2 linked regions of the Tamandua tetradactyla genome follow. The protein of the gene in region 2 purifies or fractionates together with the protein of the main gene of each other region. This does not show direct contact. Links are inferred from orthologs where the notes say so. Each region holds a gene or a part of one and is shown on either strand. Other genes may lie near its edges.

The links.
Region 1: the proteins of TARDBP (region 2) and G3BP1 purify together in Homo sapiens (affinity purification with mass spectrometry; 3 studies listed by BioGRID, with this or other methods). This does not show direct contact. The link is inferred for Tamandua tetradactyla from reciprocal best matches to the Homo sapiens genes TARDBP and G3BP1.

Annotation. Positions count from the first base shown.
Region 1 is NC_135346.1:32,602,944-32,611,185, reverse strand, and holds the start of G3BP1 (ras GTPase-activating protein-binding protein 1), read right to left. Parts: upstream 3,404-8,242; 5' UTR 3,229-3,403; coding exon 3,022-3,228; intron 1-3,021. UniProt on the Homo sapiens protein: Protein involved in various processes, such as stress granule formation and innate immunity. Plays an essential role in stress granule formation.
Region 2 is NC_135328.1:214,373,676-214,381,113, reverse strand, and holds the start of TARDBP (TAR DNA-binding protein 43), read left to right. Parts: upstream 1-4,196; 5' UTR 4,197-4,274; intron 4,275-4,299; exon of another isoform or gene 4,300-4,957; intron 4,958-5,644; 5' UTR 5,645-5,658; coding exon 5,659-5,896; intron 5,897-7,157; coding exon 7,158-7,321; intron 7,322-7,438. UniProt on the Homo sapiens protein: RNA-binding protein that is involved in various steps of RNA biogenesis and processing.

The sequences.
Region 1 (8,242 bases), on a different chromosome or scaffold from region 2:
CTTGTGTTTCTAGCTCCTTTGTGAACTCATGTAAATCACTTAAGCTTTTAGAGCTTCATTTCTTTTCATCAGTAAAGACATGAGAATACCTAAAACGTGTGAAAGAACTCATAAAATATGCAAAAGGCTTGACAAATAACGTCATTAGATAGCTACATAAGTTACTAGCTACCAAGGGTTGCATCCCTAGAAGTGTGCCCTGTCCAAGAAGCCAGATCTTTCTCTGAACAATCAATCTCTAATCTTTAATTTTTATTAAACACCTGAAGTTTATAAGTAGTTAAGCAATACTACAATACCCTGACAGAAGGGGGAATCTATCACTTATAGTCATCTGCAGAATATATTTTATTAGGCCACAGCTTGTAAGAACTTTTAAATTGCTTTCTGCTTAGTAAAGCCTGCTCTTGAGTTTTCACATGCAGATTATTTTTAGCTCTTCACCCAGTCTCCAAGTTTAAAAGTCAAATTTCTCTAACCAAGGCCAGACAGGGTATCTAAGAGGGCATTAAAAGAAAAAAAACCAGCAAACTGAATTTTGAGTATTTAAAACTATAAACCTAGTTAACTTCCAATGTGATTACTGACTAAAAGTTAGGTTACAGTTGCAAAATCTAAATTTAACTCCAGGCCTGGAAGGAGGAGTACAGCAGTTGGGTTTTTTTTTTTTTTTTTTTAATCTACCTACTTTTGACAGTGATGCCCTTTTGTAAGGTTTCAAGACAAGTCAGTAGGAATTTTGGTCCTAGGTAGCCTTAAACCACACATAATTAAATGAACACACAACGCATATTTGAACTCCTAAACACTATTTTTTAAAAACCAACCTAATTATAAAAAGTAAGGAAAACACCAGATAAGCAGTTTTGTAAAACTAGCGCGCACACACACAAGCCACAAACTCATGCTTTATATTAAATTTCATCTTTTAACATTGGCTCCCAAGTATCCTCTAAGAACTATATATAATTCCCAAACCTATAAAAAGTGAAAGCTAATCTCTGCTTTTTATGCTGACCTTTGGCTTTCTATACAAAATACTAAAACAAGTAAACAAAAAAAAAAAATTGCTAAGTAGGTTACCAACATGACCAAATCTTTTGAAGTTCCCTTAGTAGACTGTCAGCTGAGTGTAGGTTAAATAAAGGACAAAGACCTGCCTACATTTTTCTACTTGTTAGAAAAGTACAAGAGCTCAAATTTGAAAACATTTTTTAACTCTTAACAAAAATAACATGACTTGGGGAATAGGGAGACTCAAGTCTTGTATTACCACAACCTGCTTCAAAATTCACTTGTTCGTGATAAATTGATGCACAAAAGATCAACTGGGGTACCATTTGTAAAATATCATTTTTAAAATTTCTGCTCAACTAATAACCATTCCTCTGAGGGCAAGAATAGTACGTTTAATATTTAAAGGAGAAACTAACAAAATTCCCCTCAATGCATAAGGCAATTTCAGTCATTTTATCCCAAGCATTAATAAAATTAGTTGGACTCAAATTAAGTAGTCTAAATGTAGGTCATTATAGTATTCTAACATTTGATAACTAAAACTTAAATTTCACATCTTAACATGTCTTAAAATACTAATTTTGTAGTTAACTATTCTCTAAATGTAGGTCACAGGAATTGCTACATAAAATCATGCGACGTAGAACAATGTTATATTTCAAAGCAAACTGTTATTTGTGGCAACATCAACTAAAGGCAAGATCTTGCCTGTATACTTTGATCCTTTATCTATTGCTAGTTTCTACTAAGAAACATGGGAAACAGTAGTATCAATTTCCAGAGAGACATTTATTAAACTTCCTCCTTGTTTTTAATTTATTTACAAGGATATGCAACACTATGTGTTCCCTCTGACTGCAAAAACCATTTATTTAAAACACCAATCTTAAATGTATCTGGTCAAACATAGCAGGATAGATAAATTTCTTGAGAGAAAGAGGTAGATAGAAAGAAAACAAAGGAAGAGATAAAAAGAGAACAGTTTGAAAGCTATTCAATTCAAGCCTAGTTCAAAAGAGAGTCCTAAAAACTTTACTATAGTTCTGTCTCAAGCAGAGGCATTTATAATGCAAAGTAACGATGTGGACTTGAAACTTAGGAACATTTATTATTTCATTAGCCAAGGAGTATACTGGCTTCAAAAAAAATCTAATACAATTAATTCTACAAGAAAAATATAAACACATTTCCTTAAAGGCAAGGCAGGTAGGTGCCTTCCACTCTGCTGCATATGTGAGAGCCCAGCAGGGTAAATGCTAAATGCTGAATTGAATATAGGCAAGCAAGATTCCAACTGCCACAAGGGTATGACTTCCAGCACATCGCAATCACCGGTAATTCACTCAGTATTTTAAACTCCATCCAGCTCAAATTTATCCTGTAACTGGGAGTCGTTCTTTCCATTCCTATTTCAAATCTTAACCCACACATGTTGGTGAAATCTGAAACTCACTGGTCTAAACGTCATTTTCTTCAACTTTAAAACAAGGAAGTTAAACTATCTTCTCAAAGGTCTTTCTCAAAAGTTTGCTCCGATTTAAAAAAAGAAAAAGAAAAAAAATTCGTGTTCTGCTTAGCAGATTCTAACTTTCTGCTGGCGGGAATTTCCCATTACCACGTTGAGTTTGATACCTGACTAGTAACATAGTCCACCTTGATTTGCATTAATTCACTTTTTCCTACACTTTCCAGAAGCTGTTAGGACAGCACAGCTATAAACTATCTACACAAACACACGTAGAAAGGAAGCCCAGACCCCTTTTCTTTGTCATAATCCCACTTCCAGCCCTTGTCTGTCTTCCTGAAAGCCATTATGTGGCCTTAGTGCAAATGCCGCCGCAGTCTTCTCGGCAGTTGGCCTTTCCAAGCTGCGGTTGCATCCAGTGACCAGTGTTCTGGGTGCAAAGGTGACCTGGGACCGCAAAGAGTATTAGAGCAAAGAACAAAATGAGCTCAAGACTAGGAGTGAGACAGCTTGGATTCAAAAAAATAGCTGTCCCTTACCGTCCGTATCTCTGACCATGTCCGTCTACTTCTGCGTCTCAGAGTCCACCGTAAATTGCGGGAAATAACTGTATCTACCTCTTGGGTCGTTGTGAGAGTTACACGAAATGTATACGACCTGCTTAGAACAGTGCCCGGCACACAGCGAGGGGTACAAAGAATTCTCGGTGTTGTTAGCGCTATCCATACACGCGGCTGCTCCCTCATTACTCCTTGTAAAACCAAGGCGCAGCGGCACTTCTGCCTCGCAGGTTATCGCACTCAGCGTCGCCCCCACCTCTGAAGAAAAGTTCCCTCCTGGGCCAGGCCACGGGGCCGCGCGGGGCCCCAAGGACCCCGGAGATGGCCCCAGGCCCGGGCGGCGACTGCTGCTCGCTCCCGCCTCGCGTGGCCGTTGGACGCGGCACGCGCACGCGGCGGACGCGGCCCCGCGCGCCAGGCGCGGGAGCGGGGCGGGGAAAGGCCGCGCGCCCGTCCGATCGCCTCGCGTGCCTGCGGCCGTTGGGGTGGGGGTTGGGGGACGCGCCCCGCGCGGCCGCCGTAAGTGCCACTAGCGCTGCTCCCTTTCACACGGCCCCGACCCGTCCTCATCCTCGGGCGGCCCAGCCCCGCCCAAACCCCGGTGTACCTGTGCGGCTAAGTGGGAGAGGAACAAGCTTTGCTCCACAGCAGGGCGGATGGCAAGAAATCTCTCACGCAACTGCGTCCGCACACACGCGTGCTCCGCCGCCGGTCTATATAAGCACGACTCACCCTAACTTGTTGCGGCCAGCTCGGGCGAGCCGATGACCAATCCCTAATGCGTCCTCTGGTCTCTTCGAACCACAATTGGGTACTGACTCAAGGTGAAGGCGTGATTCTTGATTGGCTTTGACACTGGCCTATAAGGCTGTGAGGATCCGGTTTCCCTAGTAACGGATTGGCACTAAGAGAAACCAATAACTAAAAGGTACAGTGGAAAGGGGGGCGGAAGTTATTTGACCGATACCCATAGTAACCAATAAGTGCAGGGAACTACTCTCATTCGTTAAAACATCTTCCTCAGGGCGGAGATCCGTTTTCCAGGCAGGAGCGGTTGCTCCACAAGGTGGAGCCCGTGTACTTTGGGGAAGTAAACCCCAAGCAACTAGATGGTGGGCGCTGGGGCGTCCAAGGGAGACCCCCGGCCAATCGCAATGCGGAAAGGAGCTGATTGACGCGGGGCTTGGACTGCTCCAAGGCGACCAAGGCGACCAAGCCCTAGGGCCCGTGTGCGGCGCAGGGCGGTTGTAATCCTTTCCTGGCTCGGGCTTCGGGTCTTTCTTTCTCATTGCATGGTCCGGCCCCCGAGGCTTCCGCTCCCACCCTTTGCGCATAGCTTGATACCAGAGGAACAAAGTGGTAAAGTTTCCGGTTAGGTATTTTTTCTCCTTTTTATTGCAACTGTCTTTTATTTCCATGCAACACCCTGAGGATCCTCGCTGGCTCTTATAGTTAGTCGACATAATTGTTGGGCAACAGTTACAGGGAAACAAGAAGTAAGTAACTCCTGTTGTGTCTGTAAGGTAATACAAAAAGGTGACGTGTGAAACTGTTAAGTTTGAGAGCACAGATTTCTACCCCGTTGCCTCTTGGCAAGTGCTGCTGTTGGCCTGCCCAATCAGAGGCTCGTGGGTGTTTTAATCAGATTTTCCCTTTTTGTCGTTGCGGAGGAACGGTAGTTTGCAAATGCTCGGATCAAGTTTGGACCTTGATGCAACATCCTGTGCGTCACCGCCATTGTCATTCCTCTTTTAATTGCAGGGAGGCGGGGGTGGGGGGCGGGAGGAAATTTTGCTGTTTTCTTCGTGTCGTGGCTCCTTTAAAAGTTAAATTGTCAGACTCCTAGATGGACATTCCAAAGATTTTCCGAAATACTTAAGGGGCCAAGTGACGCCCCAGCCAGGTTCTGCCCCGGTCTCTTACCATTTTGTTGTGCCCTCTCTTGGTCACCATGAGCGTTTTATGTGGACATTTGTTGAGTTCCAAAGCGCAGACACGCCCCAGTAATTTCTCATTTCAGCCTTGTGCCCATCCAGAAGGGTCTCCCGTTAAGTTTTACTAAGAAAGTTGGAAGTGAAGTAAGTTGAGCGTCGTCTCTGTGGGAGGAGAGAAGACTGAGCTGGGCCGGCCCAGCCCGGGCTGGAAGGAAAAAGGGGCGCCCGCAGCAAGCAGCCTAGCGTGACTGGCCCTGTCCTCTTTGGACCTCCCGAGGCCAAGCCTGGCCGCGAAGACTGGAGACGCGGGGAGGCCACAGGAGAGATAGAAAGAGCACCTTCTTGGGGGTTGTGGTCCCACATCTGGTCCTCCAAGGTTCCGCTCCCGTATCAGCCTCGCTCATCCAGCATTTATTGAGCGGCATGGACTGGGGGTCAGGAATGATCAAGTCGTTGTCCCTGCTTAACCTCACCCATTCAGCAGACTGGGGCTCTGCGTTTGGGGCAGGAGATCCCAAGACGGAGGAACTGGCTGGCAGAGGAGGGAAATCAGCCTAGAGGAAAGAAGTGGCTGAAATTTTCTGAGCTAAGGAACCTCTAAGATCATGTAGCTCATAGTAAGGAATCCGGACTTTATTCTGAGGGCAGTGGAGAGCCCCTGGAGGATTTTTTAAAGTGGGCTAAGATTTGCATTTTACAAAGATGACACTCCAAACTGAAACTCTAGTGAGCCCAAATTGGCAAAAATTTACAGTCTGGCATCTACTGGATAAAGCTCAAGGTTGAGAAACTCTCCTCTAGGAGATTAATTTAAGTTCTCTAAGGAAAAGTCCCAAGCGTCCTTCTGCTCTTGATCTCCATTGCCAAGCAAATTCTACAATCCCCTCCAATATACTACCTCACTCTTCTCTTTCTGCCAGTCCTCCCCAAAGCTCTGAAAATCAGAGGGAGTGGAAGCATGCTAAGACCCAGAAAACTTAGTCTGATGGAAGAAGTGGAAGGGTGTGAGAAATATTAAAGAATGGCCCTTAAAACATCATCTGGATCAGTGTTTCGCAAACATAGCTAATAGTTTGCTAAGCCTTATGAAAAACGTGTGTGCGTTCATTTCCCGGTGCCTGCCTCATGAAAAAAAAAGTGTGTGCTGATGGCATCTATGGTCTGTGACTTTATCTCAATAAAATTGCATTAAAGCAAATGTGTGCATGTATGAGTCTTAACTGTTAAACTCTCACCTGTGGGTAAGAACCCAGTATAATAATATTCATTGCAACACTGTTTCTAGTAGAAAGAGGAAACAGTCCACATCTCTAGCAATATGAGATTGGTATAGATATAATACAACACAGTACACTCTTACAATGGACTGTTAGGCAGCCACACAGAAAACAAGATATACCTATATGTATGGTTATAGAATGATCTCTAAGAGAAATCAACACATGAAGAGAGCAAAATATAGAAGAAATATAGAAAAAAACATTTGTGTAAAAATGGAAGAGTAGCTATGAGGTGATTATTTCTTTTGATACACAGTGTTGCTATAGTTATTTATTTCTTTGATTTTGCTGTGTCTGCATAGGTTATGTCCGAAAGGAGTCTCGAGAAACTGTTACTAATTGCTAATAGGGAGGTAAACTTGGGCCAGGAAAGAAGAAACTCTTCCTTTCCATTCTATAAACTTTGGTACAGTAAAGTTTTGTTTGTTTGTTTGTTTGTTTTACCATGTGCATGTATTTTAAAAAAATTTAATACTGGCACAAGGAACTGCAAATATGGAAACTTTGATCTTTAAAACAAACCAACCAGGTGGAATGCCACACTTACCTTTGTAGGTTTTGAGGGTTTTGAAAATGAGGCTTCCTTCCTCCACTCACTGAATTCTTTTTTTTCCACTCCTTATTGTACAAAAAATCATACCAAGATCCAAACAGATCCTTATTAACTTGGAAATACATGCCTAACTGGATTACTTCCTCCTTTGGCACTGTCTGCAAAGGCTTCACTTCCTCAAATCCTATGGAGCACACATCATGAGCCTGGCACTTCGTTGATATTCTTTACAAAGATGATCTCATTTAATCTTCACAACAGCCCTATTTCCCATTTCTGAAGTACGAAAACAGGCTGAGACCAAATCAAAAGGGCAAGTCCTTCATCTTGAGGCTTGCTCTTGTGAAGCTTATGTATATAGCAGAGAAGCTTAGCCTACCTATCAGTATACCTAAGAGCCACGTCCAGAGGCCCTCTTTTGTTGCTCAGATGTGGCCTTTCTCTCTTTAAGCCCAATTGTGCAAGTGAAACCATTACCCTCCCCCCTATGGGGGACATGACATCTAGGGGTGGATGATCCCCAGGGATGAGCCTGGCCCTGGCACCGTGCAATCAACAATGCTGTCCTGACAAAAGGGGAAAAAATAAGGTATCAGTGGCTGAGAGTTCAAATAGAGTTGAGAGGCTACTTTGGTAGTCACTCTTACACAAGCTTCAGTTAAACATTGCTACCTTTCATAACTTGCCAAACCCCAATCAAAACCATTCCTGCCAATCCTAAAGAATACCTAGGGCATTTCATAAGATTCTACAAAGGTTCCACGCACTAGGGTAACCTTCCAAAACCTACAACCTCCAAATGGGTCCCTGGACCAGATAAGTCCTGAAATACAGAGGGGCCAGCCTTTCCAGAACATCAACTAGTTCCATTCCCCTATCTCATATTATTGATAGCCCTTTCAACATGAAAAAGTTAGAATGGGTATAGCCCAAATATCCCTAAAGAGTGGAAAAAAGATCAAAGGTGATGGTGGAGTTATACAGAGAAGGTCAGGTTTAACAAATGAGTATGAGTGCTGAATCATTATACTTGTTTCAGCCTCCAGTACCTTAGAGCAGCTAACAGTAAAAACCTAAAATTGTGGAATTGTAACCCATACCAAACTCTGAGATCTGTTCTACAACTAATTGTTGTGATATACTTTGAAATGTATTGCTTTTGTGTATATATGTTATTTTTAAAGAAGGAGGAGTTTAATAGAGAAGAAAGGATTTAGCAAATAAGTATGACTGCTGAATCACTGATATTTCCATTGGTCTCCAGTGTCTTGGAGCAGCTAAAAGAAAACACAAAAAATCATGGAACTGTAACTCATACCAAACCTTAAAATCTATTCTATAACTGCTTGTTAAAATGTACTTGGAAATGTATTGCTTTTTTGTATATATGTCATATTTCACAATAAAAAAAAAAACAGACTCAGAGAGGTTAA
Region 2 (7,438 bases):
ATTCTGCCCCTGAGCCACCACTGCCCCCCAAAACTCCTGAATTTGATCAATGTATTGTGGTTGTGTAAGAGAATCTCTTTGTCCTTAGGAAATACAAGCTAAAGTATTTAATTGATATCTGTGACTACCTTTAAATTGATGAGTTCAAATGTGTATGTCTGCATATGTGTGAGTGCGTGCCTACAGAGAGAAAGAGTGATAAAGCAAATGTGACAAAACACGAACAGCTGGTGAATCTGGATGAAGGGCACAAAGGAGTTCTTTGCATTTTCTTGGAACTTTACTCTTAAGTTTCAAATTATTCCAGAGTGAAACATTTTTAGAAAAATCTAAGTTAGACTTAGACCAGTCGGGGACACAGCTCCTAATCTGAGTAGGATTTGAAGGTATGGGAGTTAAGAGGAAATTAAATCTTGGGGAAATAATGTTATTTTGCCTTGATATTTCATTTCATTTTCAAAAATGCTTGCACAGCTCCCCTCCTGCTCGCCTTCTAGACCTGAGGGAGGCAATGGAAGACAAGGAGGTGTGGCTGAATGACGTTCCCGGACTCTGACTTGCTGTCCAGTGTGCTTTCTTCCCAAGTGAACCTCTTTCCTGGTCCTGTGCTGGAAGCCGGCTCCCCAGGTAGCTGTCAGGAGCTCCTTGGACTTGGAGCGTCTGTCTAGCTCTGGCCTCCTCGTGCTTTTTGCCTCCTGGGACTGTTTTCCAGCTGTTCTTCTATTGGGCTTCCTACCTGTCCCCACCCCTACCTGCATCAGACATCACTCCAGGGGTGGCCGATTTTCATCTTCCCTGTGTATCTTTCCAGGGTGGTTGTTCTAGTTTGCTAGCTGCTGGAATGCAATGTGCCAGAATTAGAATGGCTTTTAAAAAGGGGAATTTAATAAATTGTTAGTCTACAGTGCTAAGACCAAGAAAATGTCCCAGTTAAAGCAAGTTTATTAAAATGTCCAAACTAGGGCACCAACAAGATGTTACCTTCACTCAAAAAAAGCTGATGAAGTTCAGGGTCTCTCTCTCAACTGGAAAGGCACATGGTGAACACAGAGGCGTCTGCTAGCTTCCTCTCCAGGCTTCTCGCTTCATGCAAGTCCCCTAGGGGTGTTCTCCTTCTTCATCTCCAAAGGTAGCTGGCTGGTGGACTCTGCACTTCACTGCTCTCTTGGAATCAAAAAAGGGACTGTCTCCAAAATGCTTCTTCTTTTAAAGGATTCCGGTAAACTTATCCAGACCCACCTGGAATGGGTAGAGTCATCCCCCTCTGTTCAAAAGTTAACACCCACAATTGGGCGAGCCACAGCTATTGGGCAGAGATAATCTAATCAAGTTTCCAGCATACAGTGCTGAATAGGGTCCAAGAGAAATGGTTGTTCCCACAAAATTGGATTAGGATTAAAACATAGCTTTTTTAGGTACATAAATCTTGTCAAACCAGCACAGTGGTGTAGCCCAGTGTTAGGTATACAGAAGGAGCTCTGTAAGTCTTTCCTGATCCACTATTTCAGAAAGCTTTTAATGAAAGCTCAGAGGATAGGAGATGGGTATGAACAATTTTTTTTTGGTCCTTGTGATGGTCAGGTTCATGTGTCAACTTGACCGGGAGATGTTGTCCACTTATCTGGTCAAGCAAGCACTGGCCTAACTGTGACATTTTGTGGACTTAAATCATCAGTAAGTTGATTGTGCTTGCATGGCTGATTACAACTACAATCAACTAAGGAGAGTGTCTTTGGCAATGAGAGATGTTTCATACAATCAGTCGAAGGCTTTAAAAGGAGAAGTGATGACTTCAGTAGTCAGAAAAAAGAACTTTCATCTCCACTTCAGCCAACCAGCTTTTCCTGAGGGGAGTTCATCAAATACCCTCACTGGAGTGGCCAGCTTGCTGCCTGCCCTACAGAATTTGCACCTGTGCATCCCTACAGTTGCATGAGACACTGTTATAAAATCTCACAATATTCACAGATATCTCCTGTTCGTTCTGTTTCCCAAGAGAACCCCGACTGATAAGTCCTCTAACTATCAACAGGCTTAATGCGTATTAATTTTAGAAGAGGTATGAACACACAAGCCAACAAACCAAGAGAATTCACAAAATGCTCCATTTTGAATGAGTAGAACTTTTGACATGGGTGCTGTAAAGCTGAAACCCATGTTGTACTCAGGGGTGGGACCATGCTGTGGCCCAGCTCTCTCCTGGCCTTCCTGAAGGGGGTCTTTACATGTGCTGATCCTCTCAAGTCCCTTGAAAACTTCTGTAGGGAAAGGGTGGCCTTCATCAGTTTTGCCACTGTGTGACCTTTCCCCAGCCCCCGAACACCAAGTTCTGCCAACTGGCAGCAGCCCCCAAGAGGCACTACTTACACTAAGTCTCGATCTCGTCACTGAAAGTACCCCGGGGAGGTGGACAGAGCAGGCTTTAGTGTGACAATCCTGGGACAGCAATTTCACCCCAAGTGGCAGGATGGACTAAGTGAGGATGTAGTGCTACCTCCTAAGGAGGCTTCACATGTGAGTGACCATCAGGGTAAGGCAGGATGGAATAGGCCATCAAGGCTGTGGTCCCTGGTCTTCTATTCAGCTTCAAAAGAGTTAATACAGAGCTGCAAACTTCCTAGGACAAGAAATTCCCCTAAAGCCCTGAAACCTCCTCAAACCATTGAAACCTCCCCAAACCATAAAAGCTTGTAAAATCCTGGACCCAAAGCAAATTCTTAGTTAATGATAGGAAGCACAGGGCCATAAAGATTGTTAACCATATGCTCAAAGATAAATTTTAGGTATGTGACAACAAACCATGAATTCTCCTCCTAGAACAGAGAAGAGGCCTCCTGCCCAAAGGCCACCGTGGGAATCTGCACAAAGAAGACACCTGGTGCTCACAGGTTACTACGGAAACCTGCTACCAACAAGACATCCTATAAAGCAAGCTAAACCCCACCCACTCAGTGCCCCTCCCCTGGGCATGGCTGCATTAACCTCTCTAATATGTACTCTCTCCTTCTGTTTAATAAATTTACTATTTATTCTTACTGCCTTCTCTAAATTCTTTTAGCTGTGGGACCTGGAAGGGGGCTCAGGTGGCACCATTGCGAACCAGGTACCAGTTACAAAGGGACTTCTGTCCCTTGGAGGTGAGTGAAGGTCATTCATTACACCCCATTCCTGTTTCTTTTCCCTCCCTGGTCTTTCCAAATTGGTTCAGGAATACTCTGGTTGATATGAAAAGCAGGCATCAGAGATGGAATTGTAAGATTTACTGTTTGTCCCCTAGGAAACTGTAAGATGCAAGAAGCTGCAGAGTGCACCCACTTCAGAGCTTTGCTATCTGGGTTCAAATCTGGGCCCCAACATTTCCCACCAGCATGAACGTGGGCAGAATTATTGAATCTCTGTACCTAGGTTTCCTCATCTGCAAAGCAGGAATGATAATATTAGCACCTTCCTTATAAGGGCTGTTGAGAGGATTATACAAATTAATACATAAAGCATTTAAACCATGGTCTGTGTAAACCTTTGCTATTACTGCATTGCACTGAATCTGATACATGATCTTATTTTATGTAACACTAAGAAATTAAGTGTTGTCAGTTGAGCTTAACCTCCCCTTCCTCCCTCAGCCAACCTCCAAACCTAGAAAGAACTTTTGTTTCTAAATAATAGCAATAGAGCTATCACAAACATTATGACGTGTTATTAATTGTAACTGCATCTAAAATTTATACTGATTTCAGAAATGTGAAACAAATGTGTTCCAAAATAGATGGAACATAGTATAGCTGTGATTAGTGGGCTAGAGCTAGTGTCAGCATTCTATGCCTTAGGCACCCGGGTAACTTTATGCAAACTACCTAACCTCTCTGTGCCCCAGTTTCCTCATTCGCCAAGAATGTTCGGTGAGTTAAATATGTAAGTACTTAGAAAGTGCCCGGCCTAAGTAGACACTATCTGGCTTATTACTTAGAAACAAAGTTCTTCTTTCCAGGTTCGAAGTTTGGCTAGAGTAGGGAGGACAGTAAGCACCGAGTTGGCTTTTTAAACAAAGGAGGCCCTGTCCTCTCCCACCTCCCAAGTCGCCCAGGTAAGGAGAACCTGCGACCCCAGCCTCCGCCCCCACTCGGCCCCGCCCTACGGGGGCCGGCCCCGCCCCGCTCTTCCTGGCCCTGCCCCTAAGCTAGTCTCGCGCTCTTTCAAATTGCGCGAGCTCCAGCCGAGACCCAGGGTTGGCGGTTAGTTGGGCGAAACCATCCTCTACGCTACGTGGGAGGAAGGTAAAAGCCTACGCGCCCACGTTTTTTCAGTTTTTAGCTTTTCAAGTCCAACTGGTGATGTTATTTTAGACGAAAAGTACTATTAGCACGCGCAGACTCCAAAGAGGGAAGCTGACTAGCCGGAGAGAGGTTATTGTGTTTCTGTGCGGGGTCCTCCCCCCTGTTGGCGGGGATCCGGTGGGAGAGGATGGCGACGGGCGGGGGAAGGAGGCGGCCCTAGCGCCATTTTGTGAGAGCGAAGCGGTGGCTGGCCTGCTCTCGGGCCCGTCGGTGTTTTGGTTTACCTGTCGGGCTTCCTAGCAGCTTCCTGGAGGGTGAGTTGCGGACGCTTCCCACTGAGGACGCCCTGGATGGCGCTGCTTTCCTATTGGGGTGGCCTAGGCAGATGCAGAGGCGTCAGAGTCCGCCTGGGGAAGGGAGCCATGAGGCCAGGCCTCCCTCGTCCTGCCCGAGTAGGCTCGCGCGGGAGCGGCGTTGGGGGGAGCCGCGGGCCGGCAGCAGGCGCCAGTGTTGGGATGCTGGGCCCACGGGGCCATCCAGTATGAGGCGGAGTGGGTGTAGGGACCGTGAGTTGGCCTTTCTCCTGGCCCGGCCAGTGCTTTATCCCTTAGGCACTTGGCACTCGGGGGGACACTGTCAGCCCAGGCCTAGTACCCCTGCGGCTCCACCCCGGGACGCGCTTAAAAACTCCTCCCTCGGCGGTCACGCGCTGGCTTCTGGGAGGTGGCAGCGCGGATCCGAAGGACTGGTCGTAGCTGTTCCTAAGGCACAAGTTTGGAGAGTCCACGGAAGCCCTAAAACGAGGGACCGAAGGGAAGGGAACTTTTCTCTCTTCACCTAGCTCATTTCTTTTCGTTCAGTCTTCAAGTTTGAGCATTATACATCACTTTCTTAAGGAAACCTATTGTGGCATGCGTGCTCTTTGGCATACATATGCACACGCCTCAACCAGCTTTGATTCTCCCCGGCTTTCTCAGAGTTATTTACTTTTTTTTCCCGGTAGCATATGTATGTCTCGATTGCAACAAAATTACATGTTAACTGTATTTCTGCTGATTATTCCTACCCCTTTGTAACCAAGCATGCCACTTGGGATCGACTGCTTTCATAGTCCTAAAGTTGCAGCACCTGATGCAAAGTAGTTACTTACTGAATGAGTGAACCTAGGACGGTATCGTATTTTAATAGGAAATTGCTTTCCTTGTGCTTGCCTCATCTCTTAGTGATAACCGATAGGTGTAAGAATCAGAGCAGCAAGAATTTTTGTGGAAGTTGTAGAACCATAACCTGGTGATAGGAGTTTTCACCTGATTGTAAGAAAAGTGTTCTTCATGTGAGTGTTGGTCATTCATCTCTCTTTTCACTTTAAGAAAAATAAGAAAAGATGTCTGAATATATTCGGGTAACCGAAGATGAGAATGACGAGCCTATTGAAATACCATCAGAAGATGATGGGACAGTGCTGCTGTCCACAGTTACGGCCCAGTTTCCAGGAGCATGTGGTCTGCGCTACAGGAATCCAGTGTCTCAATGTATGAGAGGTGTCCGGCTAGTAGAAGGAGTTCTGCATGCACCTGATGCAGGCTGGGGAAATCTTGTCTACGTTGTCAACTATCCCAAAGGTTTGTTACCACTTGGTTTTACAATTATGCTGAAGTATGGTGAGGTTGTTTCTCATTCTGAGTCATCCATCATGGCCTCCGTTTATGGTGAAACATCTCCTATAATGTTAGTTGTTCCTCAAACTTTATTAGACTGCTTTGAGTGACAACTAGCCTAGATTAGTAAAAATTGAGAATTGTGGGGCATTTCTAGAGAAAAAATACTGTATTTTTTTAATCAGAACAAGTGTAAACCAGACTGGTGACAAATTTAAGAAACTATTAAAAACAATACAGTCTTCCAAAGTGCCCCCAGATTTGGATTTGGTTGGTCATTGCTCATACAGTCACATCCTTCATTCGCCTAATCTGACATCTTTTATTTTCCGTTAAGTGAGCATCAATTGCAGTACCTCAAATCTTGACTCAATCAGTGTTGGTCCTGGTCTTATTTCTTCTTGCTGCCTCTTCTCAGTGATGTTCTAAATTTAAGAAAAGTAAAAATGAACATTAAGAAAGCTATAGGTGCATTTTAGCAGCAGGAATGCACATATCTACATGGTAACTTTTATTTATAACTTGATATTGCAACAAGATTAGCCCATCAGACTTCTTCAAGATGGAGGACATCTAGAAAATTTTTAGAAGTGCAGTTCAGGTTTTCTTAGGTACGATTTTTAAACCATTGGCTATAGATTAATATTTGTCCAAATTTAAGATGTTACTCATATCCTAAAGATTACTTTTTTTAAAAAAAAAATGAGATTTTTTTAATTACAGAATTAATATGTTTGCATTGTGGAAAGATTAGGAAAGACAAAAAACTTAAAATTATCCTTAAATCCACGACTTGGAGATAAGAGTTCCTATTTTTTTGGTATATGTTCTTTAGGTTATAAAAGATATTTAGATAATTTGGCAAATATGTTTACTGTGTAAGCACAAAGATAGTATACTGGTTTTTAACCTTTTCTTTTTCCTGAGTTTAATGTTATTTTTAAGTCAAAGTGAGGTAATTTTGTTTTGATACACTTTTCCAGTAGGAGAATATGCAGTTATAGTCTTGTGAGTTGGGAATCCCTGAATTTACACCAGGAAAGTATCTCAGGCACTTATTCTAGGTCTTATTTTGTCCTTGAGAGCTAACATCATTTCTTGACAAAATTTTTCAATGTCTTACTCTTCTTGGATTTTTCCTTTTGCATTTCATTTCTAGACATAGAGGTGGTATGTTTTAAGACATGTTAAATGAAGTTTTCTGAGAGATTTCTGTTTTATTCAGATAACAAAAGAAAGATGGATGAAACTGATGCTTCATCAGCAGTGAAAGTGAAAAGAGCAGTCCAGAAAACATCTGATTTAATAGTATTGGGCCTTCCATGGAAAACAACTGAACAAGATCTAAAAGAATATTTTAGTACCTTTGGAGAAGTTCTAATGGTGCAGGTAAACTTCGATTTGATTTATCATCTTCTTTATTGATGAGTGAGCATTTCTCTTATTTTAGTGGCACTGTTTCATTTTCAGCAGATAATAGTATTTCTTGTATATATGCATAAGGGC